Linked DNA regions of Canis lupus familiaris. The protein of the gene in region 5 interacts with the protein of the main gene of each other region in a biochemical or structural test. Links are inferred from orthologs where the notes say so. Each region holds a gene or a part of one and is shown on either strand. Other genes may lie near its edges.

The links.
Region 1: the proteins of LRRK1 (region 5) and TEX33 form a complex in vitro, tested with the Homo sapiens proteins (2 studies listed by BioGRID and IntAct, with this or other methods). The link is inferred for Canis lupus familiaris from reciprocal best matches to the Homo sapiens genes LRRK1 and CIMIP4.
Region 2: the proteins of LRRK1 (region 5) and BAG5 form a complex in vitro, tested with the Homo sapiens proteins (2 studies listed by BioGRID and IntAct, with this or other methods). The link is inferred for Canis lupus familiaris from reciprocal best matches to the Homo sapiens genes LRRK1 and BAG5.
Region 3: the proteins of LRRK1 (region 5) and NEK1 form a complex in vitro, tested with the Homo sapiens proteins (2 studies listed by BioGRID and IntAct, with this or other methods). The link is inferred for Canis lupus familiaris from reciprocal best matches to the Homo sapiens genes LRRK1 and NEK1.
Region 4: the proteins of LRRK1 (region 5) and BAG1 form a complex in vitro, tested with the Homo sapiens proteins (2 studies listed by BioGRID and IntAct, with this or other methods). The link is inferred for Canis lupus familiaris from reciprocal best matches to the Homo sapiens genes LRRK1 and BAG1.
Region 6: the proteins of LRRK1 (region 5) and CKAP2 form a complex in vitro, tested with the Homo sapiens proteins (2 studies listed by BioGRID and IntAct, with this or other methods). The link is inferred for Canis lupus familiaris from reciprocal best matches to the Homo sapiens genes LRRK1 and CKAP2.
Region 7: the proteins of LRRK1 (region 5) and SCEL form a complex in vitro, tested with the Homo sapiens proteins (2 studies listed by BioGRID and IntAct, with this or other methods). The link is inferred for Canis lupus familiaris from reciprocal best matches to the Homo sapiens genes LRRK1 and SCEL.

The regions. Positions count from the first base shown.
Region 1 is NC_049231.1:28,488,509-28,492,478, reverse strand, and holds the start of TEX33 (testis-expressed protein 33), read right to left. Parts: upstream 2,801-3,970; 5' UTR 2,643-2,800; intron 2,570-2,642; 5' UTR 2,468-2,569; intron 1-2,467.
Region 2 is NC_049229.1:71,725,860-71,730,014, forward strand, and holds the start of BAG5 (BAG family molecular chaperone regulator 5), read right to left. Parts: upstream 2,801-4,155; 5' UTR 2,745-2,800; intron 2,463-2,744; exon of another isoform or gene 2,302-2,462; intron 723-2,301; 5' UTR 695-722; coding exon 1-694. Other genes in the region: COA8 (cytochrome c oxidase assembly factor 8), read left to right, coding at 3,043-3,165. UniProt on the Homo sapiens protein: Co-chaperone for HSP/HSP70 proteins. It functions as a nucleotide-exchange factor promoting the release of ADP from HSP70, thereby activating HSP70-mediated protein refolding.
Region 3 is NC_049246.1:20,498,602-20,502,101, forward strand, and holds part of NEK1 (serine/threonine-protein kinase Nek1), read right to left. Parts: intron 1,592-3,500; coding exon 1,508-1,591; intron 1,084-1,507; coding exon 1,000-1,083; intron 172-999; coding exon 94-171; intron 1-93. UniProt on the Homo sapiens protein: Phosphorylates serines and threonines, but also appears to possess tyrosine kinase activity. Involved in DNA damage checkpoint control and for proper DNA damage repair.
Region 4 is NC_049232.1:50,590,227-50,593,726, forward strand, and holds part of BAG1 (BAG family molecular chaperone regulator 1), read right to left. Parts: intron 2,960-3,500; coding exon 2,846-2,959; intron 1-2,845. UniProt on the Homo sapiens protein: Co-chaperone for HSP70 and HSC70 chaperone proteins. Acts as a nucleotide-exchange factor (NEF) promoting the release of ADP from the HSP70 and HSC70 proteins thereby triggering client/substrate protein release.
Region 5 is NC_049224.1:40,487,969-40,492,208, forward strand, and holds the start of LRRK1 (leucine-rich repeat serine/threonine-protein kinase 1), read right to left. Parts: upstream 2,801-4,240; 5' UTR 2,784-2,800; intron 1-2,783.
Region 6 is NC_049246.1:214,192-218,386, reverse strand, and holds the start of CKAP2 (cytoskeleton-associated protein 2), read left to right. Parts: upstream 1-1,395; 5' UTR 1,396-1,412; coding exon 1,413-1,482; intron 1,483-1,990; exon of another isoform or gene 1,991-2,164; intron 2,165-2,209; coding exon 2,210-2,257; intron 2,258-2,432; coding exon 2,433-2,511; intron 2,512-3,741; exon of another isoform or gene 3,742-3,754; coding exon of another isoform or gene 3,755-3,804; intron 3,805-4,195. UniProt on the Homo sapiens protein: Possesses microtubule stabilizing properties. Involved in regulating aneuploidy, cell cycling, and cell death in a p53/TP53-dependent manner.
Region 7 is NC_049243.1:31,258,091-31,260,380, forward strand, and holds part of SCEL (sciellin), read left to right. Parts: intron 1-1,785; coding exon 1,786-1,888; intron 1,889-2,290. UniProt on the Homo sapiens protein: May function in the assembly or regulation of proteins in the cornified envelope. The LIM domain may be involved in homotypic or heterotypic associations and may function to localize sciellin to the cornified envelope.

The DNA.
Region 1 (3,970 bases), on a different chromosome or scaffold from region 5:
GTGCAGACAAAGAACATGTTCTCAGAACCTTGAGGGAGCCGTGTCCGAGTTATGTAGTAACAGAACCTAGTGACACTGTCATTGATGGTTATATGGAAAGCAGAACATGTGACTAATGAGCCAGGGGATCTAGCAAAGGAAATTTCCAAGCAAAGCATGGAAGGCACCTCCTGGTTTCTTCCTGCTGCTTGTAGTGAAATGTGACAGGAGACAAAAGCATCGAAGGAAGGACCATTAAACATAAAAGAGGCAGGACTTAATAGTTTTGGAAATTCTCATCCTCCCCAGGTGCCAAAAGAGGCTAAAATTAAGAAATAGCTTCAGAGCACCATCCAAAAAAGGTAGCCAAAGCTGTGACTGTACCACCTTTTGTGAAAAGCTTATAAAGATAAAAAGCTCAGAGCATATTATTCAGTCACACAAAGGACCCTTTAAAGAGATAAGGATGCGCCTCACAGATCGCCCCCCTCAGTGGGGTAATAGGTCGTCTAGGAAACCTAGAGGTGCTGTGTCTTCCCAGGAGTCCCAGAGAGGGGAGCAGAGCTGTTGTCAAGCCCCTGTAGGCTTAAGTTCTGGAGAAAACCATATTAACAAAAGTACTACCAGCTTGCAGCAAAAGGGACAGACGGTACAAAATGGAGTCTAGTGGACCCTCAAATCTACCAGCAGAAGAGTCTGACAAAACTACTCAGCATATGGGCAGCCCTGGTGGTTCAGTGGTTTAGCACTGCCTTCGGCCCAGGGTGTGATCCTGGAGACCTGGGATCGAGTCCCATGTCAGGCTCCCTGCATGAAGCCTGCTTCTCCCTCTCCCTCTGCCTGTGTCTCTGCCCCTCTCTCTCCTCTCTGTGTATTCTCATGAATAAATAAATAAAGTCTTAAAAAAAAAACTACTCAGCATACACATGTGCTATCCTTTTTTTATTTCTCAAAAAAAAAAAAAAAATTAGAGAGTGGAAGCAAGGACCTGTGGGGCAGAGCTGAGAGCCATGGAGAATTACTTCCAGGCCTTGAAACCCAATCAGGAAAAGTTCAACAATCCCTGCTGGATTTCAGAACTGCTATGGACCAGTGACTCCTTTGTGTCTCCAGTGTCCTCAGTTTTTAATAGGGATGTTCATAGCCCTTATCCCAGGTCAGCCACACCATTCATTGCATAGTGGTGTGTTCAGAACAGATAGTTCAGTTTCCTAATATCTACTGATGGGGAGATAGGACCGAGTCCAAGAAACCACACTCAAGGAACCTCATCCACACCCAGGCCTGATTTGTAGCCAGGTTCTAGATTTTGAGCTGATGCTGTAATGGAATGAACCTTTTGGAGATCGTAGGGCAGAAATGAATGTATTTTGCATATGGAAACAATGTATGTTATCAGGGCCAAGAGGGCCAACTGCCACCAAGTTGGGCAGTTGACATGGCTCCCAAGGATCCTGTTCCTTGGAATTCACACCCTTGCTTAATCTTTCCCCTTGAGTGTGGGCTGGACCTGTTGACTTGCTTCTAACCAATTAAATATGTGATGAGAAGCTACTTCCAAGGTTATTGAAGATTGAATATAGAAGATTGTGACTCTGTCTTGTTCACACTCTCTCAGGCTCTTTGTGGCTCCCTCACTCTGATAGAAGAAGGGTCCATGTTGTGAGCTGCCCTCTGGAGAGGCCCACGTGGCAAAGATCTGAGGGAGGCCTCTGGCCAACAGTTCATGAGAAATTGAGGCTCTCAGATCAATAATCCATGAGGAACTGAGTCCTACCATATGAGTGGCCCTGGAAAGGGGTCCTTCTCTAGTTGAACTTTGATTATAGTCTATGGAAGACCCTGAGATATGGGACCTATTGGAGCTGCATCTGTATTTCTGACTCAAAGAGATTGTGAGATTAAAAAAAAAATCTTAGGGGCACCTGGGTGGCTTAGTAGCTTAAGCATCTGACTTTTGATTTTCGGCTCAGGTCATGATCTCAAGGTTGTGAGATTGAGCCCCACATGAGGCTTCACGCTGAACACAGAATCCTGTTTGGGATTCTCTTTCTCCCTCTCCCTCTGCCCTTTTCCCTCTCTCTAAAATATTAATTAATTAATTAATTTTTAATAGTGTTCTTAAGCCACTGAGTTTTGGGGCAATTTGTTAGATGGAAAGAGATAACTAATATAGCTCATATGTTACACATTCTCCCATCTAGTAGGTTAGTCTGTCTTCATAAGGACTCAGGTGTTCAGAGAAAATATAACTCCTCCTCTTTCACAGATGGAGAAAGTGAGGCTCAGAAAAGAAATAGGACCTCAGCCAGGTGGCACTGAAACCAAGCCCTTTACCTTCTGTCTCCTTCAAGTGAGCTGTCAGCCCTGTCCCGGTTCCCCATCTCCAGTTACCCAACCGATGTTCCCACAGCAGTGTCCCATCTGCCCTAATGGCACCCCCAGCCCAGAGCAGCCTAGACCGGCTTGAGCAGAAGTGTGGACTCACTGCCAGCTTCTGATCTGGAGAGGAAGTCCCAAGAGACATCAGTTAAGGAGGACAGGGAAGGGGGTCCCGTTGCGTCTGGGCACTCTTCCCTCACGAGCAGCCCTGAATGGAGAGAGGGGAGATGAAATCCCGGGTCCTGGAAGACCCCCGTCCACCCCACAGGTCTCTGCCTCACCTCTCCACTCTCTCTCATAACATCAGAAAACACGTGAACCACTCTGGTGTGTGCTGAAGCCCAGGAGTGCAGATCCACACTGCTGAACTGCTGGTGAAGACCACTGGGTGGTTGCCAGGGAGCAGCCCCCCTCCATTGTTCATTGGAGTCGCCATGGTGACCACTATTCATAGGGCTCTGTTACCTCAGAGGGCTCCCAGACCCACTCCAGGGGCCCCTCTGGGCTGGGGAAAGCCAGTACTGTGGGGCATGGAGGAGCCCTCAGGCATCGCTCACCCTCTCACCCCCTCAAAATGTTTCCTGAGCCCCCACATGCATCAGGTTGGGAGTCAGACACAGAGGGCTCAGCTGCCATCAGGTGGAAAGTTAGTTCTAGTGACTACAAAGGATTGAATAGAGTGATGAGTTTTGACTGGGGGAAGGAGTCAGGGTTCTCAGAAGGGCCACATGAGCTGGACTTTGAGGGATGCGTAGGAGCTAAACAGTTTAGAAGGGACTTGAATATTAAAGGTGTGGATGTGTTTCTGAGCATGGCTATAGGCCAAGAGGAGTGGGGAGGGGAGAGAAAGGTGCACCTGAGCTCTCTCAGCTGGACATGAAGGGATCAGGGACCAAGTATGAGAGCAGGATGTGACATGAGACTCTGCTCTCCACCCCTCAAACCATGAGGGCTACCAAAGATGAACAATTAAGTGGCTTCTGCAGTTGGCACCCGCAGTATCTCAGCCCTGTCTGGCTGTTGCTCAGCAGGGGTGGGGGTATGGAGGAGGCCTCCTCACGCCAGCCTTCCAGGGGCTCCCTGGGAGGCAGAGAGCTTGGTGACACTCAGGGCCCCTGAGTCTGGTCCTGCCACTTAAAGAGTGACTTTGACCAGATTCTTTGGCAGAACTTTCCTTGTATGTGAAACAGACACAGCTCATGGTGAAGGGTAAGAATTAGAATTGAACAGTCACTTTCATCAAGTGCCTAGCCCATCGCTTACCACGGAGAGATGTGGCCTGTAACCCACAGCTCACCCCGTAAGCGACTCATCAGCAAGGCCTTCAAAGTACACCAGACTTGAGTGCCTGGGTGGCTCAGTTGTTGAGCGTCTGCCTTTGGCTCAGGTCGTGATCCCAGGGTCCTGGGATCGAGTCCCACATCGGGCTCCCTGGAGGGAGCCTGCTTCTCCCTCTGCCTGTGTCTCTGCCTCTCTATGTCTCTTGTGAATAAATACATAAAATCTTTAAAGAAACAAAAACGAAAAAACAAAGTACACCAGACTCGCACCCGCCTCAGCCACTTCCACAACATCATTGTCCTGCCCATCGGCCCCAGGTCCAGACCAC
Region 2 (4,155 bases), on a different chromosome or scaffold from region 5:
CGTCTAGAGCATCCAGATCTGCAATCAGCCCCGACAGCACACAAGATAAGTGCCTGCAAGTCTCATTATTGTTCACCCCCATCAGAAGTGCGATCAGAGTGCCTCTGGCCTTGTTCACCTCACACATCACCGAGTTGATCTTGGCCACTGAAGGGTGCGCGTCCTCGGAAAGTGGCAGAGAAGGCTGCTTTTTCACACAGTCTTCGATGATCTCCTGCACCGCACAGATTTTGGTTAAGGTGTGGTACCGTGCTTTCCGCAGAGAAATCTTCCCCCCGGTTTTGACATGTGTCAGCCTCAGAATGATATCCTGGATGCCTTCTTCAAATTCGTCAGTTACACAGTTGCCCCCACTATAAAACGGCACAATCTTCTCTTTCACCAGGGCCTGGGCTTCTTTAAAGATGTTCTGTATTTCGATCCGGTGTGGGTGGTTTGCATTCTGCTCCAGCTCTTTGAGAAGACGCTCCGTCTCCTGGGCTGCCCTCTTCCTCGCTTGCTGAATATCTCCTTTTCCTTCAGTATCCACAGAGTCTATTTCAAAGAGTTGTTTTGTTAGAATCCTCTCCAGTTTCTTGTAATTCTTGTCATCTGACAGACCACTGAAGCCAATTACTTGCTGTTCTATACTTTTTACTTCCTTTTGGATTTCCTGAAGCCTACTAATAGAAGGATGTTGGTTGCCCATATCCATACTTTTGTTGTGTTCCGTTTTACAAGCACTAAAAAATGACAAGAATGCCAAATTACACAAAGACTCTACAGACAGGTAAGCAAATATTGATTCATTCCGAAATTCTCATTTTAAGAAGAGGTATTTGAGGGACGCCCGGGTGACTGAGTGGTTTAGCACCGCCTTCAGCTCAGGGGGTGATCCCAGGGTCCTGGGATCGAGTCCCACATTGGGCTCCCTCCATGGAGCCTGCTTCTCCCTCTGCCTGTGTCTCTGCCTCTCTCTGGTGTCTCTTGTGAATAAATAAAATCTTAAAACAAAACAAAAACGGGCAGCCCCAAAGGTGCAGCAGTTTAGTGCTGCCTACAGCCCGGGGTGTGATCCTCGAGTCCTGGGATTGAGTCCCACATTGGGCTTCCTGAATGGAGCCTGCTTCTCCCTCTGCCTGTGTCTCTGCCCCCCTCTCTCTCTGTGTCTCTCACGAATAAATAAATATTAAATAAAATAAATTTTAAAAAAAGATGCATTTGAGTTTAGATCACACTAAGGCCCATCCTTAGTGTGATCTAAACAGCAGTCATACTCAAGTATGGAAAGAGTAATCCACTTTCTTGAAGATCACCTACACACCCCTGTGATTAGGAATGGACAGGGGTGGGATCCCTGGGTGGCGCAGCGGTTTGGCGCCTGCCTTTGGCCCAGGGCGCGATCCTGGAGACCCGGGATCAAATCCCACGTCGGGCTCCCGGTGAATGGAGCCTGCTTCTCCCTCTGCCTGTGTCTCTGCCTCTCTCTCTCTCTCTCTCTGTGGGACTATCATAAATAAATAGAAATTAAAAAAAAAAAAGGAATGGACAGGGGTTACTGCAGTGCAGAACGAGCTGGAGCCCTGGGCCTGATTTCCCAACTTCTTCGCCTGGGTCTCTACACGTGTGGCACGAGGTCAACTACTGGGGTGGAAACAGCACAAGGATCTCAGGTATTAACGCTGGACCCTGGTTGTTGGCAACAGCAGGGCACCCCTGTGGAACGTGCAACAGTTGCTCTTTTGACCTTCAAACGCTAACAGTGCCATCCCAGCACCCACCTGGCCCGAGAGCTATGCCTGCTTTCAAAACAAACTGGAGGGCACCCGGGGGCTCAGCAGTTTAGCATCTGCCTCGGCCCAGGGCGTGACCCTGGAGACCCGGGGTCCAGTCCCGCATCGGGCTCCCTGCGTGGAGCCTGCTTCTCCCTCCCTCTCTCTGTATCTCTCATGAATAGATGAATAAAATCTTAAAAAAAAAAAAAAAATAGAAAAAACAGAACAAAACCCGGAAGTCTAAGTGAAACAAACAGCAGCGGATCCCAGCGACCCCCAGGCCCCGCTTCTACTTCCTCCCCGCCGCTCGGGGCTCCTCCCCGGCCACCCTGTTTCCCCCGCCCCTCCGAGGACGTCGAAGACCCTCCGCGCGGAGGCGAAGATCCCCCAGGAAGGGAAGGTGACCGGCACCGTGTTAAAGGCACCAGCTTGGCCTCCGGAGGGCTGGTGCCTCCCTAGGCCCGTCGGCCCGCTCTCGGGGGAGGGAGGGCGGGCGGCCGGCGGGGCCCCGGCCTCCCCCCCTCGCCCTCCCCTGCCAGCACTTTACCCAGAGGAGGTCTACGCTGGTCTGGTCCTGGCTGCCCGCGGGGAGCTGGCGAGGTGGCAGGTCAGCCCTTTACGGGGTGCGGCACCGGAGCGGGGCCCCAGCTGCATCCCTCTCACCCCTGCCGGCTGGGTGTGCCCGGGCGGCCGGTGAGGGGGCCGGCGGTGGCGCGGCAGCTACTGGCCGCAGCCGCCGCTCCGGGCGTGTCGCCCGGGCCCCCGACGCGCCCGCCGGCCCTGACCTCACAATGGCCCGCGCGGGAGGGGGCGGCCGCGCTCGCAGGGCCTCCGAGCCCCCCGGGGAGCCGGGCCGCGTCGGACGCGGGCGGGGAGCGGCGCGGAGGCCGAGGCCCAGGCCCGGCGGGAGCGGGCGCGGGCGCGGGGGGCGGGGGGCGGGGGGCGCGCACGGGGAGGCCCGCGGCCCGCCAGCCGCCTAGCTGCGCTCACCTGTGCCGCCCGCGCCATCGCGCGCCCCGCCGCCGACGCGCAGGACTCCGCCGCGGTCGCCGTCGCCCGCCCCGCGGCCCCGCCCCGGGCCGAACAGCCCCCGCCCTGGGAAAACGTCCTGCGGCGCGCGCCGCCACCACCGCCCGGCACGGCAGCCCGGAGCTGGCCGCGGAGCCGCGGGGAAAGCGCACGGTCGGCCGCGCCGCTCGCTCCCGCTGGCTTTGCGACCGTGCCGTAAGGCAGCCCCTCGCGCCGGCGCGGCTCTGCCGTGCGTCGCGGCAGCCGGGGGACGCTGGGCATGGTGGGCTTCCGGGCCTCGAGGAGGGCGCTTCTGCCGCCGCTGTGCCGCGCCTTTGCTCGCCCCGGCTGTCCGCTCGGCCCCGAGCGCGGCGCGGAGCGCAGGGAGGCGGCGGCGAGCCGGGTAAGCTGGGGGTCCTGCAGGCGGCGCGCCGGGCTCCGCGCCCCGTCGAGGCCGGCCGCGGCGTCCGCCCAGCTCCCGGGCCGCGGGGGGGGGGGGGGGGGGGCCTCGGAGCCCGCGGCTGTGCTGGGGCCGCCGCGCCGGGGACTTCCCGAGCGGGGGCCTTGGGCTGCAGCGCTTGGCGCGCACGCGGGGTCTCGGCCCGCGCCGTGGCTCCGGGCGCTCTTCCGCCAGCGACCGCGCCCCCGAGCCTCGTGTCTTGCAGGGCCGCCGGGGCGTAGCTCTGGTTTGGAGAACTGCGCGCATAGGTGCGAGGCGCGGGTGGAAGGTTAGCGGGGGTACCTGTAGCAACGAAGAAGGACCGTTTTTAGGAATTGCACTTCTTAGGGGAAGGGTGTTTCGTCCACGGAGTGCCAGCTGTCACGTGGAAGCGTGGGGCTGCAGACGAAATATTTAAACGAAGCCTACGCACACAAACACGGAATTTGCCAACAGGCTAAGGGTGGAGGCTGGAAAGCCTGGGGTAAAAAAGCAGGACTTCCAAAATGTGCCTGCCTGTAAGTTTTCGTCTATGTTAGTCTTTTGCTGTTAGCATGCTTTTTATAAATGTAGTTTTGAAGTTCTGTTCAGTTTATAGTTTATTTTTATTTTTTTTTTTTAAGATTGTATTCATTTATTCATGAGACCCAGAGGGAGAGGCAGAGACACAGGCAGAGGGAGAAGCAGGCTCCATGCAGGGAGCCCGACGCGGGATCGATCCCAGGTCTCCAGGTCACGCCCCGGGCTGAAGGCAGGTGCTTAACGGCTGAGCCACCCCGGGCTGCCCTCTGTTTAGTTTATAGTTTGGACAAGAAGTTGGCGGGGCAGCTGGTCAACCCCCCCTCCCCGCCCCCACCTCTGGCCTAGTTCCTGTGACAGTGGCCACAACTGTGACTTCTATTCCTACAACTTAGAAACCCGTCCAGTGTCTCAGTCTTAGGGCAGGAAGATACT
Region 3 (3,500 bases), on a different chromosome or scaffold from region 5:
AAAAATTAGGCAAGAGAATAATTATGCAAGACACAATTTTCTACCCTAGGTTGTCATTTTCTCAAAGAAAACCTGTATCTTTCTAGTCTATACCTTAAATGTTTCAACTTTTTTACGCCGCACGTCAGCCTCCTCACTTCCTTCTTGTCCCTCAGAATAATCAGCTTCTTTCTACAAAGTAAGGAGACAAACCACTTAGGACAGAGCTGTGAATCAGGGCAGAGCTCTGTGGAAGATAATATGAATAAACTTACACTTAAAAATATAAAATGGTAAATTGTTCAACACTGCTAATTTTCTCTCACAGTGAGAAGTGAACTATCCACAACTACCAATTCTTATGGACTATAAATGGGAAAAAAAAAAACAAAAATAAAAGGATACAAAATGGCTATGTGTACTACTTATAGTTTTCTCTCAGAATTCCTCTGGAAAAATGCTCTTATCAATTTAAAATCCCATGTATAAAATTTATTTTATTTCTAAGTATAGTTTTCTGATTTTTGACTTTGACTCCATCAGATTCTGTTAGTGGCATAGTATTATTTTATTTTTTTAAAAAAAGGTTTTATTTATTTGAGGGAGAGAGAGTGTGTGAGTGTACAAGTGAGGGGAGGGGCAGAAGGAGAGGGAGAAACAAACTCCTTACTGAGCGGGGAGTCTGATGTGGGGCTCTATCCCAGGACCACCAGATCATGACCTGAGCTAAAGGCAGATGCTTTTGAAGCCACTCAGGTGCCCCAGTAGCACAGCAATTTTAATCTTAATCTATTATAATGTCATTCAATTACTTTTTTAAAAATTATTTTCCGGGATGCCTGGGTGGCTCAGCAATTGAGTGTCTGCCCTCAGCTCAGGATGTGATCCAAGGATCTGGAATCGAGTCCCACATTGGGCTCCCCATGGGGAGCCTGCTTCTCCCTCTGCCTATGTCTCTGCCTCTCTCTGTCTCTCATCAATCAATAAATAAATATTTTTAAAAATTACTTTTCAACCTGCCTTTTCACCACGAAGTTTGGCTTTAATCTGTTGGCGTTCATTGAAATTCTGCAGTCTTATTTGCCTCAGTCTTGCCAGATAAACCTACAAGGAGAGAAAAAAACACACATTTTAATTTAAAGAAAAAAATTATCAGCATTTTTACTGCTTAATTTTTAAATTAAAGAAAAGTGTTAATCTGAATACAAGAAATAAAAGTTTCAAAATCTGGTTAATGGAAAGTGTGATATTAGCTTTCAAGTGTTTAATTTAGAACAACTTATTTCTGAAAAGAAATACATTATAAATTTTTAATTTTATCAAAAGAAAAGAAATTGAACTCAGAATACTGAATATCAGTTATGGGGCAAAATTATGACACAGCATGTCAGTCAAATTATATTAACAGGTCCCTCTAGACCTACAAAATCCTTAAATAATTGTTAAGAATTTAAACCATGCAAGAAAGGAAGGCAATAAACTCAAAAATGGCTATGTGACGGAGGTAGCGAACATGCGGGAAGCATACCTCTTCCTCTTTGTTTCTTGGCTTCCCTCCTCTTGAAGAGCTGGACCTGCCTCCATACATAGCTGCCAGGTTTTGCAGGATTCCCTGTTCATCATTTAATGTACTAAGTTTAAAGAATGACTAAGGCTACATTAGCATCTTACCTAGGAATATCCAGGTGCCACTTTATTTTGTTTGGCAAATACTGATCATTTCTAGCTGATAAACTTAGATAGACCCTAGAATTTTCCTATATCGATATAACCAATACATTGAGAACAGAAGGAAGCAATTAAACCCCATACATAATTATTCAAAACAGAGACCAGCTATGTTTTTATTAGTCATCTAAAACTGCTTTGAGGTTAGCTAAATTCCAAATCAAAAGCTTTGTTCTGTAAAGGGCCAATCATTTCTACACATTTGTTTACATATGCAATACACAGACAACAATATTAAATATTTGAGCTCAAACTCTACATTCAAGCATGTCCTATTACTATACTGCAAGTGATAATTTCAATAACAAGTGTATCATTTTTAACCATAGTTGATTATAAACATGGAATTCTGTCATTAGAAATTATTTTTTTGATTTTTTTTTTTTTTTTTTCTGTGAGAGACACAGAGAGAGAGAAAGAGAAACACAGGCAGAGGGAGAAGCAAGCTCCATGCAGGAAGCCTGATGTGGGACTTGATCCCGGGTCTCCAGGATCACATCCTGGGCTGCAGGCAGCGCTAAACCGCTGCGCACCGGGGCTACCCTGTCATTAGAAATTATTAATATGCTTTAAAAAAGTATCATATTGTCAAACTACCCATCTTCTCTTCCTTCAGCACACAACTATGCTGTAAGATTCTTTTCTTTAAAAAATCCTGTGTCTAATTCTCTAGCTAATGCTTTTTAAGATTTTTTTTTAAAAATTATTTGAGAGAGGAAGAGAGAACATGAGAAAGAGATCACAAGCAGGTGGGAAGGGCAGAGGGAAAAGCAGATTCCCTGCTGAGCAGGGAGCCCAATGAAGGACTCCACCCCAGGCCTGGGACTCTGACCTGAGCCACCCAGGCACCTTAATGTCTTTTTATCAGTGTGTTGAAAGCATACTTTTTATATTCATGACCTCTTCCTATTTGTTTTTTTTTTTTCCTATTTACTTTCTAACCACAATCTGGTTTCTGATCCCACTAAGACTGAAAATGTTTAAGGTTACCACTGACTTCTTAGTTCACAATTCAAATGGACCCTTTTGAATAAACCTTGCAATTAACATTTCCACTGGAAATTATCTTGACTGAATCCATGTAAATATTTTTTCTTTCATAAAAACATATGTTCACTGTAGAAAACTTTTAAATGATTTACAACTGAACCACCTGACACCCCAAAAAGTCGAAGGTTATTCTCTTCCACCTATATGTATAAATACATACAGATTTTATCTTTATAAAACTGGAATTTTACTATAGTTATTCTGGTTTTACTTTAACCAGCATATTAATTAATTTTAATATTCTGAGTTTCTTCTCACATTTAATATCCTTAAAAACGTTTTTTTCTTAAAAACATTATTCTTAATTGACCATATAGTATTCATAATATTCCACCAAATATGTTCTATAATTCACACATTAAAAAAACCTCTCTTCTCTTTCATATTTATAACAGCACTCTCTCCTGGGTTCTTCCAATCAAGCTTCACTATTTTTCACATGCTTTTCTTTTCCTTGGCTCATCACTAATGTCAATATTTTGTAAAGATTCATTCTTTGGTCCTCCTTCTCTTCTCATTCCAGGCTTTAACATATGCTGCCAATTCCCAAATCTCAATCAACCTTGTAGCCCTTTCTTTTTGAACATCTACGTGTATTCAACTGACATCTGGACAACTCCATTTTTTATGTAGCAAAGCTACTTCAATTTATAAACCTGACTTCATCATTCTTTTTACTACATGATCTTATTCCTACGTCAGTTACTGATCACAATCAGCCACCCAAGTCAGCAAGCTGGGAG
Region 4 (3,500 bases), on a different chromosome or scaffold from region 5:
GATCACACCCCAGGCTGAAGGGAGCACTAAACCGCTGAGCCATTGGGGCTGCCCAATATCCTCATTTTTAAAATGGAGATTATGATACCCACACCAGATTATGATACTAGGAGGATAAAGAGAAATATATATAGACTCTTAACATAATTCCTGACACAGACATGTGTTAACAAACAGCAACATTGGGGTGCCTGGGTGGCTCAGTCACTTAGGTGTCTGCCTTCAGCTCAGGTCATGATCTCAGAGTCCTGGGATGGAGCCCTGTATCAGGCTCCCTGCTCACTGGGGATTCTCTTTCTCCCTCTGCCCCCTGCCCCTGCTTGTGTGCTTGTGTACACGCACACTTCTCTTTCTCAAATAAATAAAATCTTAAAAAAAAAAGCCACATTTACATTGTTTTTATTAAATTATCTTGCTATGTAGTCACATTGCTTGGCCTAGTGACCAGTTAGCTGGTGACAATGGGTAGACAGCCAGGATCTCTGCAGATTTTATCAGATGTAGATTTGACCACATGCAATAAAAGCTTTTTTTTTTTTTTTTTTTTAAGTTTTATTTATTTAGGGATCCCTGGGTGGCGCAGCGGTTTAGCGCCTGCCTTTGGCCCAGGGCACGATCCTGGAGACCCGGGATCGAATCCCACATCAGGCTCCCGGTGCATGGAGCCTGCTTCTCCCTCTGCCTGTGTCTCTGCCTCTCTCTCCTCTCTCTCTCTCTCTGTGACTATCATAAAAAAATAAAAATTAAAAAAAAAAAAAAGTTTTATTTATTTATTCAGGAGAGATACAGAGAGAGAGAGAGGCAGAGGGAGAAGCAGGCTCCATGCAGGGAGCCTGATGTGGGAGTCGATCCCAGGACTCCAGGATCACACCCTGGGCCGAAGGCAGGCGCTAAACTGCTGAGCCACCCTGGGATCCCTGCAATGAAAGCTTTAAACGTTAGCCAGCAATTCCAAGTCAAAGAATTTATTCTACGCCCAAAAAATAATCGGAAATGGTAAAAAAATATTTATATTCAAGGATGTTCAGAAAAGCATTAATGCATAATGGTAAAATAACATTAGGTGATGAACAATAAAGAATTGTTAGGTATATATATTGATATCATGATATATTCATATATGTTACAATGCTATGCAAGGTTTGATAAGTATGATCATTTAAGATTTTATTTATTTAAAAGAGAGAGAGCAGGCGAGCATGACAGGAGGAGGGACAGAGAGAAGTAGACTCCCTGCTGAGCACAAAGTCAATGCAGGGCTTGATGATCCCAGGACTCTGGGATCATAATCTGAGCTAAAGGCAGATGCTTAACCAACTGAGCCACCCAGGTGCCCCAACTATGAACATTTTTTTTTTTAAGATTTTATTTATTTGTTCATGAGAGAGAGAGAGAGAGAGAGAGAAAGGCAGAGATACAGGCAGAGGGAGAAGCAGGCTCCATGCAGGGAGCCCTATGTGGGACTCGATCCCAGATCCCCAGGATCAGGCCCTGGGCTGAAGGTGGCACTAAACCGCTGAGCCACCTGGGCTGTCCCAAGTATGAACATTTTTAATGACATAAGAAAATGTTTAATTCTTTTTTTTTTTTGTAATGTTTAATTCTTTTAATCAAATAAAAGAACAATTTACAGAGTGTCCATAATACTATATCAATTTTTTTATTTTTTATTTTTTAAATTTTTTTAAAGATTTTATTTATTTATTCATGAGAGACACAGAGAGAGAGAGAGAAGCAGAGACACAGGCAGAAGGAGAAACAGGCTCCACGCAGGAAGCCTGACGTGGGACTCGATCCTGGTCTCCAGGATCACACCCTGGGCTGGAGGCGGCGCTAAACCGCTGAGCCACCCGGGCTGCCCTATATCAATTTTTTTAAATGCAAAAATATATTCTAGTCTTTAGTATTGGTTATCTTCTGAGTCAGGGCTTTATAGGTATTAGTGCTCATATGTTTACTTAAAGTTATACGATGGGCATGTATTACTTTTGTAACTAAAACAGAAACATACATCTATTAACATTATAAAATTAGAGGGAACAAAAAGAAATATGTGGTTTGGGCCTAATTTTAGTATCCCTTCTCTTATACAAGGAATTGAACAGAATGACCCCTGCCTCAGCTAAGATCAAGCTCAACTTGGGCCTTTTCTAGATCAACAATGTTCTCTGTCTTGCTAAACAAGTAACAGCTGGGACTAGGAGAAGCTACCTGTTCCATTACAGACAATACAAGACCCCTGGCATGGCAGGTACTCTCCTAAGAGCACAAATGGATGCAGGCTGTGGTTTGAAAATAGCAATGACAATCACACTTATAAGGGCTGCCTGGGTGGCTCAGCGGTTTAGCGCTGCCTTCAGCCCAGGGCGTGATCCTGGAGACCCGGGATCGAGTCCCACATTGGACTCCCTGCATGGAGTCTGCTTCTCCCTCTGCCTGTGTCTCTGCGTCTCTCATGAATAAATAAATAAAATCTTAAAAAAAAATACACACAATAACACTTATAAAAGCACTTAGTATGTGTCAGACTCAAACTACATCATTAAAAAAAAATTTTTTTTAAAGCAAGCTCTATGCCCAATGTGGGGCTTGAACCCACAACCCTGAGATCAAGAGTTGTGTGCTCTACCAACTGAGTCAGCCAGGTACCTCTCAAACTGCATCATTTAATCCTCACACCAATGCTAAGGAGAGGTACCATCATTTTCCCCTTTTATAGATAGGGAACTTGAGACAAGGAAACTTGCCCACAGTGATAGAGGGTAAAGCCAGGATCTGGACCCAGGGAATCCAGACTAGAGAGCCTGCCCTAACCACACATTTGTATCTCCCCAAAAAGAGTGACCTGTTGGATTCCAGTAAGCTCTTTGTTCAATCCTTCCAGTTGGTCAGCTATCTTCTCCACAGACTTCTCCAAATCTTTCAGTTTCTTTAGTTCAATCTCTTCCTCTGGACTGTTCTAAATGTTTAAGAATAAAATGAAGTCAATAATCACCAAAAATAGTAGCTTCTGACTGGGAAGAAAAAAAACCTAATGACAATTGGGCTAAAACCACTCACCTGGAAAAAAAATAGCTTTGATTCTGCTGCTTCTTGGAAAGCTAGAGAGTTACCCATGAATGTTTTCTACCCACAAAGACGTTAGACTAGAGAGAGAAATACTAAGTAAACATTCTGCAGGGACCCAGACAGCTTGGGTTGAGAGAATGGAGCCAAGTCAAGTGCCAGATTCAACCCGAGCCTGAGGCTGATCAGCAGCTGACTCCAGACTGAAGCCTCCAAGGGGAACAAAGGACAGTGGACACCCGTGAGGAGTCCACCTGGTGAGACAGGTGCAATTCTGCCATTCCTTTGACTGAATTCCTAAGTGCTACCCACCAACTGAGCGCTCCCATTTAATGAGGACGAGGACAAGGATGATTACTTTTGTTGAGCAGTCCCTCTACTATGCTAAACCTTTGTCTGTACTATTATTTTAAGCCTTACCACAACCCAGGGAG
Region 5 (4,240 bases):
TCTGCTTTCAAACGTCTTAAAATCAGCTACCACATCTACCCAGTACCACCTCAAAAAATCCAAATGCTAGTAGACTTGCCTTCTGAAAACAGAAGTGTCTTACCATAGAGTGCTTTTAAGTTTTTTTTTTTTTTTTAAATCTTTAAAATATTTTAGGCCAACCCTCGGCCAGCACATTTTGTTCCCCTTTTCATTTTCAGTTTCCTTTTGAAAATCTCTTTACCGATGGAGGATTTTACCACTGGCACAGTTTTTCAACTGTAATTTGTATGTTGGCTTAGACTCTAAGGTAGAAGGTTTAAAATGAGGTAACTCAACTTTTGCTCAATCTTTGCCCTCAAACGGATCTTTGCTTCTTCCTGCTTCTTTTGGGCTCAGACCAATGCAACAAATCATGGTTGTAAGTTACATGTCTTCCTTTCATTGTGGTGCATACAGCCTTAAGAGGACTTCAAGAGGTTTTCTGTAATAATTTTAATACTTTTTAAAACCTCACCAATTTTTCATTGCTCCTTATACGTGCAGTAATGAATAAAACTGAATGCTTAATCAAAAAGAGAAAAGGGGAAGCTGACATTCATCCCGCAAATGTTTTTATTGGGCCCTTTCTATGAGGAGTGAACTCCATGTGTTCATGAAACTTAAAGCTGGTGGGAAGGCACAGTTAAGTAAGTGCTTGCCACAAAATTTCTGACTGAGGAGAAATAGAGGAGACCCTGGACCTGCTTACTTGTCTTTTCAGGAGGCTTGGAAAGGATTGTCAGTACCAAAGAGCTAGAAGACACTTGCAAATGAGCACGTCAGCTCAGATAATCCAGTAATTCTTTTTAGTGAAAGCATGGTAGAGATGGTTGGCCCATAGTCCTTGACAATCCTTTGGCACTACTAGCCTCCTCTGACCACATACCGGCTTGCCTACAGAATGTGTGTAATGGATTCATGGACTTCAAAATATCAAGGGGCTGCGGACCAGAGAAATGTGTAGATCTCAGTCCTAGATGAACACCCAAAGGTCTGGGAACAGAAGCCCTTCATGAGTCTGAAACCACAAACAAGTTAAGACTGTCCATTCGCCATTCAATCTGTATGCCAGGGTGTACTGGGCACCTCTCAGACAGTTCTGGGCGTGAAGACGCAGCAGTGAGCCATGCTGGTGCCTAGGAATGGTCTCTGACCCCTGGAGCTCCAGGAGAGTGCCAGGCAATTAAAGAAGAGAGCAAATAGATGAAGAGGGACCATAATACCAGTGGAGACTGCAAAAGACAGCAAGGGTGGGGGGGGGGCGGATGTGAGAAAGAGGCTGGGCTTACAGGGGGTGGCTGGCAGTATGAGGAGTCAGGGGTCAGCATGTAGAGGCCATATGCTGAAGAGCCAGCTGGACCATGGTGGCTGGTGGGGTGGGGTGGGGTAGAGGGTGGCATGAGCAATGGCCAGGTGGTTGATGATGCCAGACTCCATATCAACTGAGGGGAAGGAGGTGTCCTGGGTTTCATGCCAATCACAAGGAGAAATTATGGCAGGGTTCTAAGCAGAGGATTGACACATTCTGATTTACCTATTAAAAAAAAACACACGCACAGACTCTCTGGCTGTCACATAAAGAATTGGAGAGGGGAGGATTGTAATCACGCAGGAAACAAATGCTGGTACCTTGGACTAAGGTGGAGACAATGAGAAAGAAAGGTTGGACTCAGCCAGACACATAGGTAAGCCCAACAGAACTTGCTGATGGTTCACAGAATTCAAGGGATGAGGGTATGGGATAGAGGAAAGGCGAACAAGTGAGCTGACTATGGGCTCATTCCCTGACCCCAAAACCTCCTTTAGGGACAAATCAGATGTGAGATTTTTGTTTTTAATTTTTTTTTTTTAATTCTTCAGGGACGGAAGCAAAGATAATTAGAGTCAAATCACAAAAAGCATTTCATGTTAATGTCGTCCCAAATGGCACCTCTTCTAGTTGTCCCTTTAATGTCTGGGTACTTTGTTACCAAGTTGAGGGGCCGGCACCCTCTAGAAAGAGTGTATTCACTGAGAGCCTTGCTGAAGCCTTCGCCACAGGCTGCTGTTTTCTCTGCCTCTCCGACCCCTGCTGATGTGTTCCGGGAGAAAGCTTCCAGGCCTCCAAACGGGCAGGGGCAGGTTGAGCGGGCCAGAGGTCCCCACGCTCTCCCTCGCCACCTCCCCCGGCCCCCCACCTAACCGGGCTCCCCTCTTGGCCCCTTCGCGGACCTGTCGCGTGTCTGCGGAGGAGGGTGGCGGAGACGGCGGATTCCCCCGCAGCGGCGGGAGCGCAGGAGCCCGGCCAGCCCCAGCCCCAGCCCCAGCCCCAGCCCCAGCCCCAGCCCCAGCCCGGCGGGAGGTGCGGGCGCTGCTCCCCGGCACACACGCACGCACACTCGCCCGCACGCTGCGCGCTCGCGCTCACACCCGGCTCACACCCGGCTCACACCCGGCCCGCGCCGGCCCGAAGCAAGGAGCCTTCTCCAGGGGCGGAGGAGACCGTGGTCGCCCGGCCGCGGCTCGGCCTCACTGGTGCTTCTCGCGCCTTCTCCCGGCCGCGGCCCGCGCGGGGTTTCGGGGTGGCCCTCCGGGGCCCGCCGCCTCCCCCACTCCGCGGGGCCGGGGCCGGGGCCGGGGCCGGGGCCTGGGGTCCCCCGCGCCCTCGGTGCCCCCCTCCCCGGGCCACCTGGGCGGAGCACGCGGCCGTCCGGGCGCCGAGGGGGCTGCGGGGGTCCCGGGCGGGGCGGGGCGCGGCGCGGCGCGGGCGGACGGGCGCTTACCTGCGGCGGCGGCGGCGGCGGGGGCGGGCCGGGGCGGCGGGGCGTGGGCCGGGGCCGGGGCCGGGGCCGGGGCGCCGGGGACGCGGGGCTGGGCGCGCGGACCGAGGCCTGGCCGTCCCCTGCCCTCCGCCCCCTGCGCCTCCGGCCGCGCGCGCGGGGGCCGGGCCGGGCCCAGACGCACTTCCTCAATCCTGCGGCCCGCGGGCTGGCGGGGAGCGAGCGCGGGCGAGGGGGGGCTGGCGCGGCGCTGCCGGCGAGCTGCACGCGGGCGCCTCAGTTTCCCCAGCCGGAACGCGGAGGTGCCCCGACGCCGCGCCCCGGAGGCCCGTGAGCCCTCGCAGCGCGCGGACCCCGCCGGGTCTGGGGGCCCTGCCTTCTCCTGTCGGGGCGGGCGCAGCCGCAAGATTGGTCGGTTCTCTGCTCAACGCAGCGTCGTCCACCGTCCCCGGGCTCCGGAGCAAAACCCAAGGGCTAACCTCGGACTTGTATGGGTTAGGCAGGGCCTCGCAGTGACTGTACTCTGACCTACACCTCTGTGCAGGGCAGGATAGAAATAGGTATTTTCTAGCTTTAGAGTTTGGCAAACGGTGCCCCTTCCGTCACAAGAATTTAATTGGGGCTGAATATAGAAAGATGTCACTGTTGGGTGAATCATTTTAAATTCTGCGGGGAGTAGATAAAACATGCTGGAATGTTGGCCATTTATTATGTCTCGACCCGATATGTATGTTCATCACCCGACGGAGACCATTATCCGACGGCATCACAGAGACGCAGGGACGTGCAGCAGGCATCAGACCTGGCTCCGCGTGCCAACCACAGGAAGACAAGCCGGCCCAGTAAGAAGCAGATGGTTCCACAGCCCGGCAGGACCCGCAGCCTAGGCTAGACCTCTCCTGCGCTGCGACTGGAAGGCTCCTGGGACTTTAGCGCAAGTCAGAGACTCGCCACCACCCTCACTGCCATTTCACAAACGCCAGGCAGACGCAGGGCCCCCGCACGACCTCAAGGACACTCTGAGCAGTGGCCCCTTGGCAAGGGCACCACGGGGCAGCTTCGCTTTGCTCCCAAGAGGCTGCGCCTTTAGCTCGCCGGCCACGGAACGCCCTTTGCAAAAGGGTGGGTGCGGTTTTGCAATCCTGTCCTCAATATTTTGGTCCTAATTCCAGTATTCAAAAAGCAGCAATGTGATTGCTACCGAAAAGTCCCTAATAATTTGCAGGGCGTGGCGTCGCGGTGCTGAGTGAGCCGGGCATTCGCGGTGCGGCGCCTCCGGGGCGCGCGGCCCGCCATCTAGTGGCAGCACGAGGAACAGCACGCGGGGAGGGGCGGCGGGAGGACCCTGGAGCTCATGTGGCCAACGCGGCCTGGGCAACTCAGCTTCTCTTTTTATTTTATTTTATTTTATTTTATTTTATTTTATTTTATTTTATTTATTTTATTTTTTTATTTTATTT
Region 6 (4,195 bases), on a different chromosome or scaffold from region 5:
AGATGGGGGTAATTGCTATGTTGGAAAACCTAGCAGTTTTGCAGGATTTCCTACCCACCATCTCAGCCTACGACCTCTCCACAGTTTTCTTGAGTCACTATTTTTTAACAACGCCCATTTATTAAAAAAACACACACACTGAAATTTACATAACACAAATCATTTTAAAGTGAACGGCTCTGTGGTCTCTCCCCATTCCCCCCTACTCCTAACCCCTGGTAACCACCCATGTGTGTCCATTTCTCTGTGGATTTACCTATTATGGATATTTCATAGGGAATCATACCATATGTGTGACCTTTTGTGGCTGGCTTTCACTTAGCAAAATGGCTTGGAGGTTCTTGAGTCTTTTTAAAACTGTTCTATTTTGTTAAACTGTTCTCTGTTATTTAATGGGAATCCCTGGTTACCCAGCCTGTCTGATGAAACTTTAGTACATAATTGACAATATTAACAGTAATATGCCAACAGCAGTGTTGTCTTAGGGACAGTGTCTTAGTGTTGGGTGCTGACTGGCTGTTGGTTCTTCCAGAATTGGCCTTAAGTGCAAAGTTAGACAACTACACTTGACATTTCATCAAGAAAAAAAACCCCAGAATATTCCAAACTAACTTCCTTATTAGCAAGATGCTACCATACATTCGATGCCTTTAGGAAAAAAGCAGAGAAAGATAGGAAGAAACGGGCAGTGGAGAGCCAGCTCTGGAAGCTCTCAGACCTGTGCAGGAGATATAAAAATTGTCTCAGTCTCCATGCTTAAAGCCCGGCTCAGTGATTAAAGCGGCACCTTTTGTGGGACCGTCCACCGCACTAGGTTCCCTAAAGTGTGGCTCCTGTGTGCCGCTTTAGGGACAACCAAAGCAAACCTTCCTGCATTCGGGACAGGGCACACGCTCACCTGCAGGGTGCCTGGAACACGGGTTCCGAGGGAAGCCACTGCGTGGGCATAAACAGCCGGACCGCCGGAGGAGGAGTCAAGCGTGGCCACGAAGCCGCGGTGCGGAAAGGGGACTCCCCTGCTCTCGGGACAGCGGCGGGTGCTTCAGCCTCTTCAGCCTGCGCGCCCTGGTTTACTAAGCGCCGCCAACCACACTTTCCTAGTGGGCCCTCCTCCGTGCGCTGTGAACGTCCACGGACTAGTCCCAGCCGCCACGCAGCAGGGACCTGGCAGCCGGCTCCCCGCCCTCCTCAAGGGCGCCACTGACTCGGGAGCAGGAGGCCTCTGTCGCGGCCGGGACTCCGCGGAGCAGCCTTCACCGAAACAGGGATCTCCAGCTGGCCCCGCCCCCGGCCCCGCCCCTTGGCGCCCATTGGCTGATTCAATTGACGCCGCGGCTTCTGCGGCCCCGCGTGCTTCACTGGCGGCGGCGGCGGCCGTGAGAGCGCAGACGCGTCCCGCTCCGCTGTTGGCGATGAGCGGCCCAGCCGTGCCCCAGGAGCTGCGGCTGCCCCCGAGCCAGAGCCCTCAGCCCGCGTTCAGAGGTGAGGGCCGCGGGGGCCGGGGCGGCGCAGCCCGCGGGCGCCTGGTTTCCCGGAGGGGCCGGGGCCGGGGCGGGGGACGAGGGCCACCGTGGGCGAGAGAGGGGCGCGGACTCAGCAGCCGGGGCCTCGAGTCCGCCGACCAGCGTCAGCCCTGACCAGACGCGCGAGAGCCCCTGGCAGCTCACCCGGTCTTTCAGCTGCATCCTCCGTTTTTGCGCATTGGACCGCGGAGAGGGGCCCGGGCCGTGGTGGTTGTGTGCGGGCTGAGCGCCTCCCGTGCGGTCGTCCCTGGCCGGGCGTGCCCCTCGGGTGGCGGGGACGGGCCCGCTGAGGGACGGTGCGCGGCCCTCACCTCTCCGGCGGCCCGGGCGTCGGCGTCGGCGTCGGGCCCTCGGGACCCCTGCGAGTGGGCGGGGCCGCGCCGGGCTGGAGGCGACTGCGCTTGCGCAGGGCGCTCCCGCCTCCTGAGTGGAGAGCCGGTTTTTGGGGAGAGGTGGGGTTGCCTCTTCTGAATCTGCTTTATGGATTCTGGGTTTGGCTGGGTTTTCAGAAATCATATTGTTCTTTGCCCTGCACATGGGAACACAGAGGAAAGACTCTCACCCAACCCAGTTCTGGTCGATTAGAACTTGGAGTCCAGTGTCTCAGTTCTGCTCCTCAGTTTCCTAAAGCTTGGCTTTCGGTAACCATATGTTGAAAATATGTTCTCCGTGTTTTTCACTTTCAGACAAAAGAGAATGTGATTCTCGTGAAGTGGTTGTGGGAAGCTTTTATGGTAATGATCTCTTAAAAAATGGGATTATTTCTCAAAGCCAGTACTCATTGAGATATTTCCTGTTTGTAAGGTGTGATCTCTAGTAGGTCACTTTTCAAAATGAGATGTTCATTTAGTGAATATTTATTTGATAATGTTATAACAAATGTTGACTTGTTGCTTTTTTGTCACTTAGAACAAAAACAAAAACTCAAGGAACGGATGTTACAAAGAAAAACGTTTTTTGCATATAAACAGGAAAATCATATATCCAGGTGAGGTCAAATTTTCTCATTTCAGATCTATAAAATTAGATCAGAGCTGTCTAATAAAAATGTCGTGGGAACCACAGTTGTAACGTAATTTAAAATTTTCAGGGTAAAAAAAAAAAAAAATTTTTTTCAGGGTGCCTGGGATGCTCAGGTAAGCATCCCACTCTTGATTTCGGCTCAGGTCATAGTCTCAGCATCCTGAGATCAATCCCCCACTTCAGGCTCTCCCCTCTGTGGGGAGCTTGCTTGTCTCCCTCTCCCTCTGCCCTTCACCCTGCCTGTTCTTTCTTTCTCTTAAGTAAATCTTTAAAAAATTTTCTAGTAGCCATATTTGAAAAGTCTATTTATTTAACAGAATATGTTATTTAAGAGAGAGCTGGGGGTGGGGGTGGGCAGAGGGAGAGGGACTCCTCGCTGAGCATGGAGCCTGAGGTGGGGCTCAATTCCAGGACCTTGAGATAATGACCTGAGTTTATCTAAGCCACCCAGGTGCCCTCTGGAAAGTCTTTTTAAAAGATGAATTGTGATAACATTTAATCCAGTATATCCCGTGTTATAGTTTAACATGTAATTCTTGAAAGTTATTGAGATATTTTACTATTTTTTTTGTGTGTGTGGTGCTGAGTTTTCAAAATCAGTGTCTGTATTTTACACTTTCATACGTCAATTTGGACTAGCCACATTTCAAGTGTTCAGTAGCCATACCTTCTTGGATAGCACAGCATTTCCTGTGTAAATTAATTCAGATTCTCAGATGAAACAATTTTAAAGCAAAGTGTTTGTATATATTAAATCATTGACTTATGGTCTATGCAGCGCTACAAAGGTCAGTCTTAATTTAGCAAGGTTTATACTCAGTATGTTTCGGGGGCTGGGACATGGATGGTTATTCTTTGGGAGGTGGCTCCCCCAAAATGTTTAGAGATTATTTGTTTTAGTCTCAACCCTGGATAGGAATATCTAGGTGTTACTGTGGTAAAATTTTAAAAGTAGTACATAGTTGTGGCAAAAGAAAACTCCGTGGAGGTATATAAAGCAGAAGATCAAAAGGCCCCCTCCAGAGATAACTGTTAGTAACAACCTTTAGGCCCTTTCTGTGCATTCTAAGGGCACTGGCTTTAGAATGATAAGGTCTGAACTCTGTAAGTCTGCTACTATAGCTGTGTAACCTCAGGGGAGTTACATGGCCTCTTAGAGTCCACTTAACTTCTATTAAAAATGGATAATTGTGTTTCTTGGAGATTAAATGAGATACAGAATGCATTGTGCTATGCCTGGTATATGGAGAGAACCCCAGTAAGTGGTAGCTGTTATTTACTGATCTCACAGTGGCTTTACACACAGAGTACTGGTTCTTGAGTTACTCTATTCTGGTTTCTTTTCGTTTCTCCAAACCGTTATTGCTATGTGTTGTCTTTGTAAATACTTAATACCCTTCCTCATGGTTGAAGGTGGTCAGATGGTGCTTATATTTAGGAGGTACAGATGCCAGGACTTGGTGATGCTGGATTAGGTATGGATGGGACATCTATAGATTTGATAACTACTATGGTTATGTAAGAGAAAATCATTATTTTTTGAACAATGAAGCATTTAGGGTTTAAGGGTAATCATGTATATATCTGGAAAGATTCAGGTAGAAAAAATTGCATATACTCCACACATACACATGTTTAGAAACAATGCA
Region 7 (2,290 bases), on a different chromosome or scaffold from region 5:
AAATAAGCTTACATAGTGGAACTCCTCAATTTCTGGTCCTACATCATTTCTTTTACTTCTCGCCCTAATATTGAGTAGGTCAACCTGACAGTTGTTGGGGTAACTGGATGAGCACTGAATAGGGAATCTGAGGGCCTGAGTACAAATTCTAACTTCCACTAACTTTGGCTGTCATTTTGGAAAATCAACTAATTAGCTTGGCTTCCATTTCCTTATTTGTGAAATGAGGTAGCTGACTAGACAAGTAGTTCTCAACTCTGGCTGTACATTATAATCATCTGGGGGCAATTAGGAGAAAAATAGAATGCTTAGGACTGGCCCAACTAAATAAAAAATCTTGAAAGTGACTCCTGGGCATTGGCATTTTTTTTTAATTTTTATTTTTTTTGGCATTGGCATTTTTAAAAGCTCCTTAGATAGATCTAAGGGCAGCCAATTGAAGAATCACTTGCATAAATCCAAGGGTCCTTTCTGTGCTGACATTCTGCGGTTGATAAACATTATCTAATGTGATCAAGTACCTGTAATACTTGGACAAGTGATTGCTTCTCCTTCAGGTAGCTTTAGAAAGTGACACATAGCAATCAGATGTATGATGCCTCATTTTGAGAAAAAATATCCAATTTTAGGCCATAATATAGAGAATTCCATTTAAAATAAAATGTGAAAATTGCATAATTACTTAATTAAGAGAAAATGAAATTTCCTTTTAGTTATGAAAATTTACTCAATAAAATAAAAGTTAGTCTACAACTCTTTATTTAAAATTATTATCCAGGGTGCTGGGGTGGCTCAGTTGGTTAAGTGTCTGCCTTCAGTGCAGGTCATGATCCCAGGGTCCTGGGATCGAGTTCCACATCAGGCTCCCTGCTCAGGGGGAGTCTGTTCCTGCCTCTCCCTCTGCCCTGCCCCTTGCTTGTGCTCTCTCTTCTCTTGCTCACTCTGTCTCTCAAATAAATAAATAAATTCTTAAAAAAATAAAGTTATCATATAGAAAACTTCTTAAAATAAGAGAATTTTCCCAATTATTTCATTTGTTAAACAACAATTTCCATTTATTGTATTTTGGAAGATTTATTTCCACTTTCAATTTAATTATAAAATACTACCGAGAATAAAAATGTCCCCATACTCCTCAGAGAAGATGTATTACTCTTATAGCTTTCTTATGGAGAACCACCTGGACTGGTTTAAACATACCGAATTGATCAGTGAATATTTGCTTCCATGAACTCACCTCTGAAAGTCATCTCAACGACAGTCTCATGCTTGAAATTAAGCTGTTTGGCAGTGAACTTATTTCTAAAGAACACAGGTCAACCCTTTTCTACCTCCATAACCAACACAATACAAAACTTCTGTAAAAACAGAAGTCTGGTTTTGTCTAGTGAGACTGTTATTGGACAGCATAACTCTCCCTTAGTAAGCAAATAAATATACTCTGTGCTTTTGTTTGAGATATTGAGTGGTGATCTTATCCTTGGCATAACCAATTTTTGAAAATTTATATTTACTGTATTGTTAACTAAGTAGAAGCTTCAGTGCTATATATGCCCTGAAATACACATTTTTCAGAGTAGAGAGATGTGAGAATTTATTTGAAACGTTCAATATTAGGATCCTGGACAGGTACATTCTCATTTTCCCTGAGGGTTCTCTTTCATCTGAGTGTTGTTATGGATGATGGTACTGGGTAAATTGAAAGGGCTTTTCTATCCTGATATACTGAGAATAAAGACTTCCTATATAATGTGTGTAAACTTCATGTATTGTTTTTTTCTTTAGTGTGAAATATGCAAACGGCCTTTGGAAAACCTGCAAGCAGGTGACAGTATTTGGATTTACAGACAGACAATACACTGTGAACCTTGCTACTCTAAAGTTATGGGTAAGTGTTACACGCTTTAAACAATCATCACTTTTACTAATAATATTAATGAGCACTTAATATTGTTGAAATGAGGGATTTCAATAAAGTAAAAATATGTTATTAATTATATTTAGTTAAGATTTCAGCTGAAGGTAGTTTATACTATGATAGGATTTTATGGCATAAAAACAGTCACCATATATTATTATCTCCTGATATCAGACCAGGCATAATACAACTAAGGAAAGAGGTCATTTATTTTGGAACATTTTTTATTTTTTCCAAACAAAAATAAAGATCTTCTTTGCTCAAATAATTGTTTGAAGTCCATTTCTGTGAATGACCTTTTGTATTTGTATTGAAATATACTTTTGTACCTAATTTGGTTATTACACTAAATACTTTTTAATGTTATTTTTA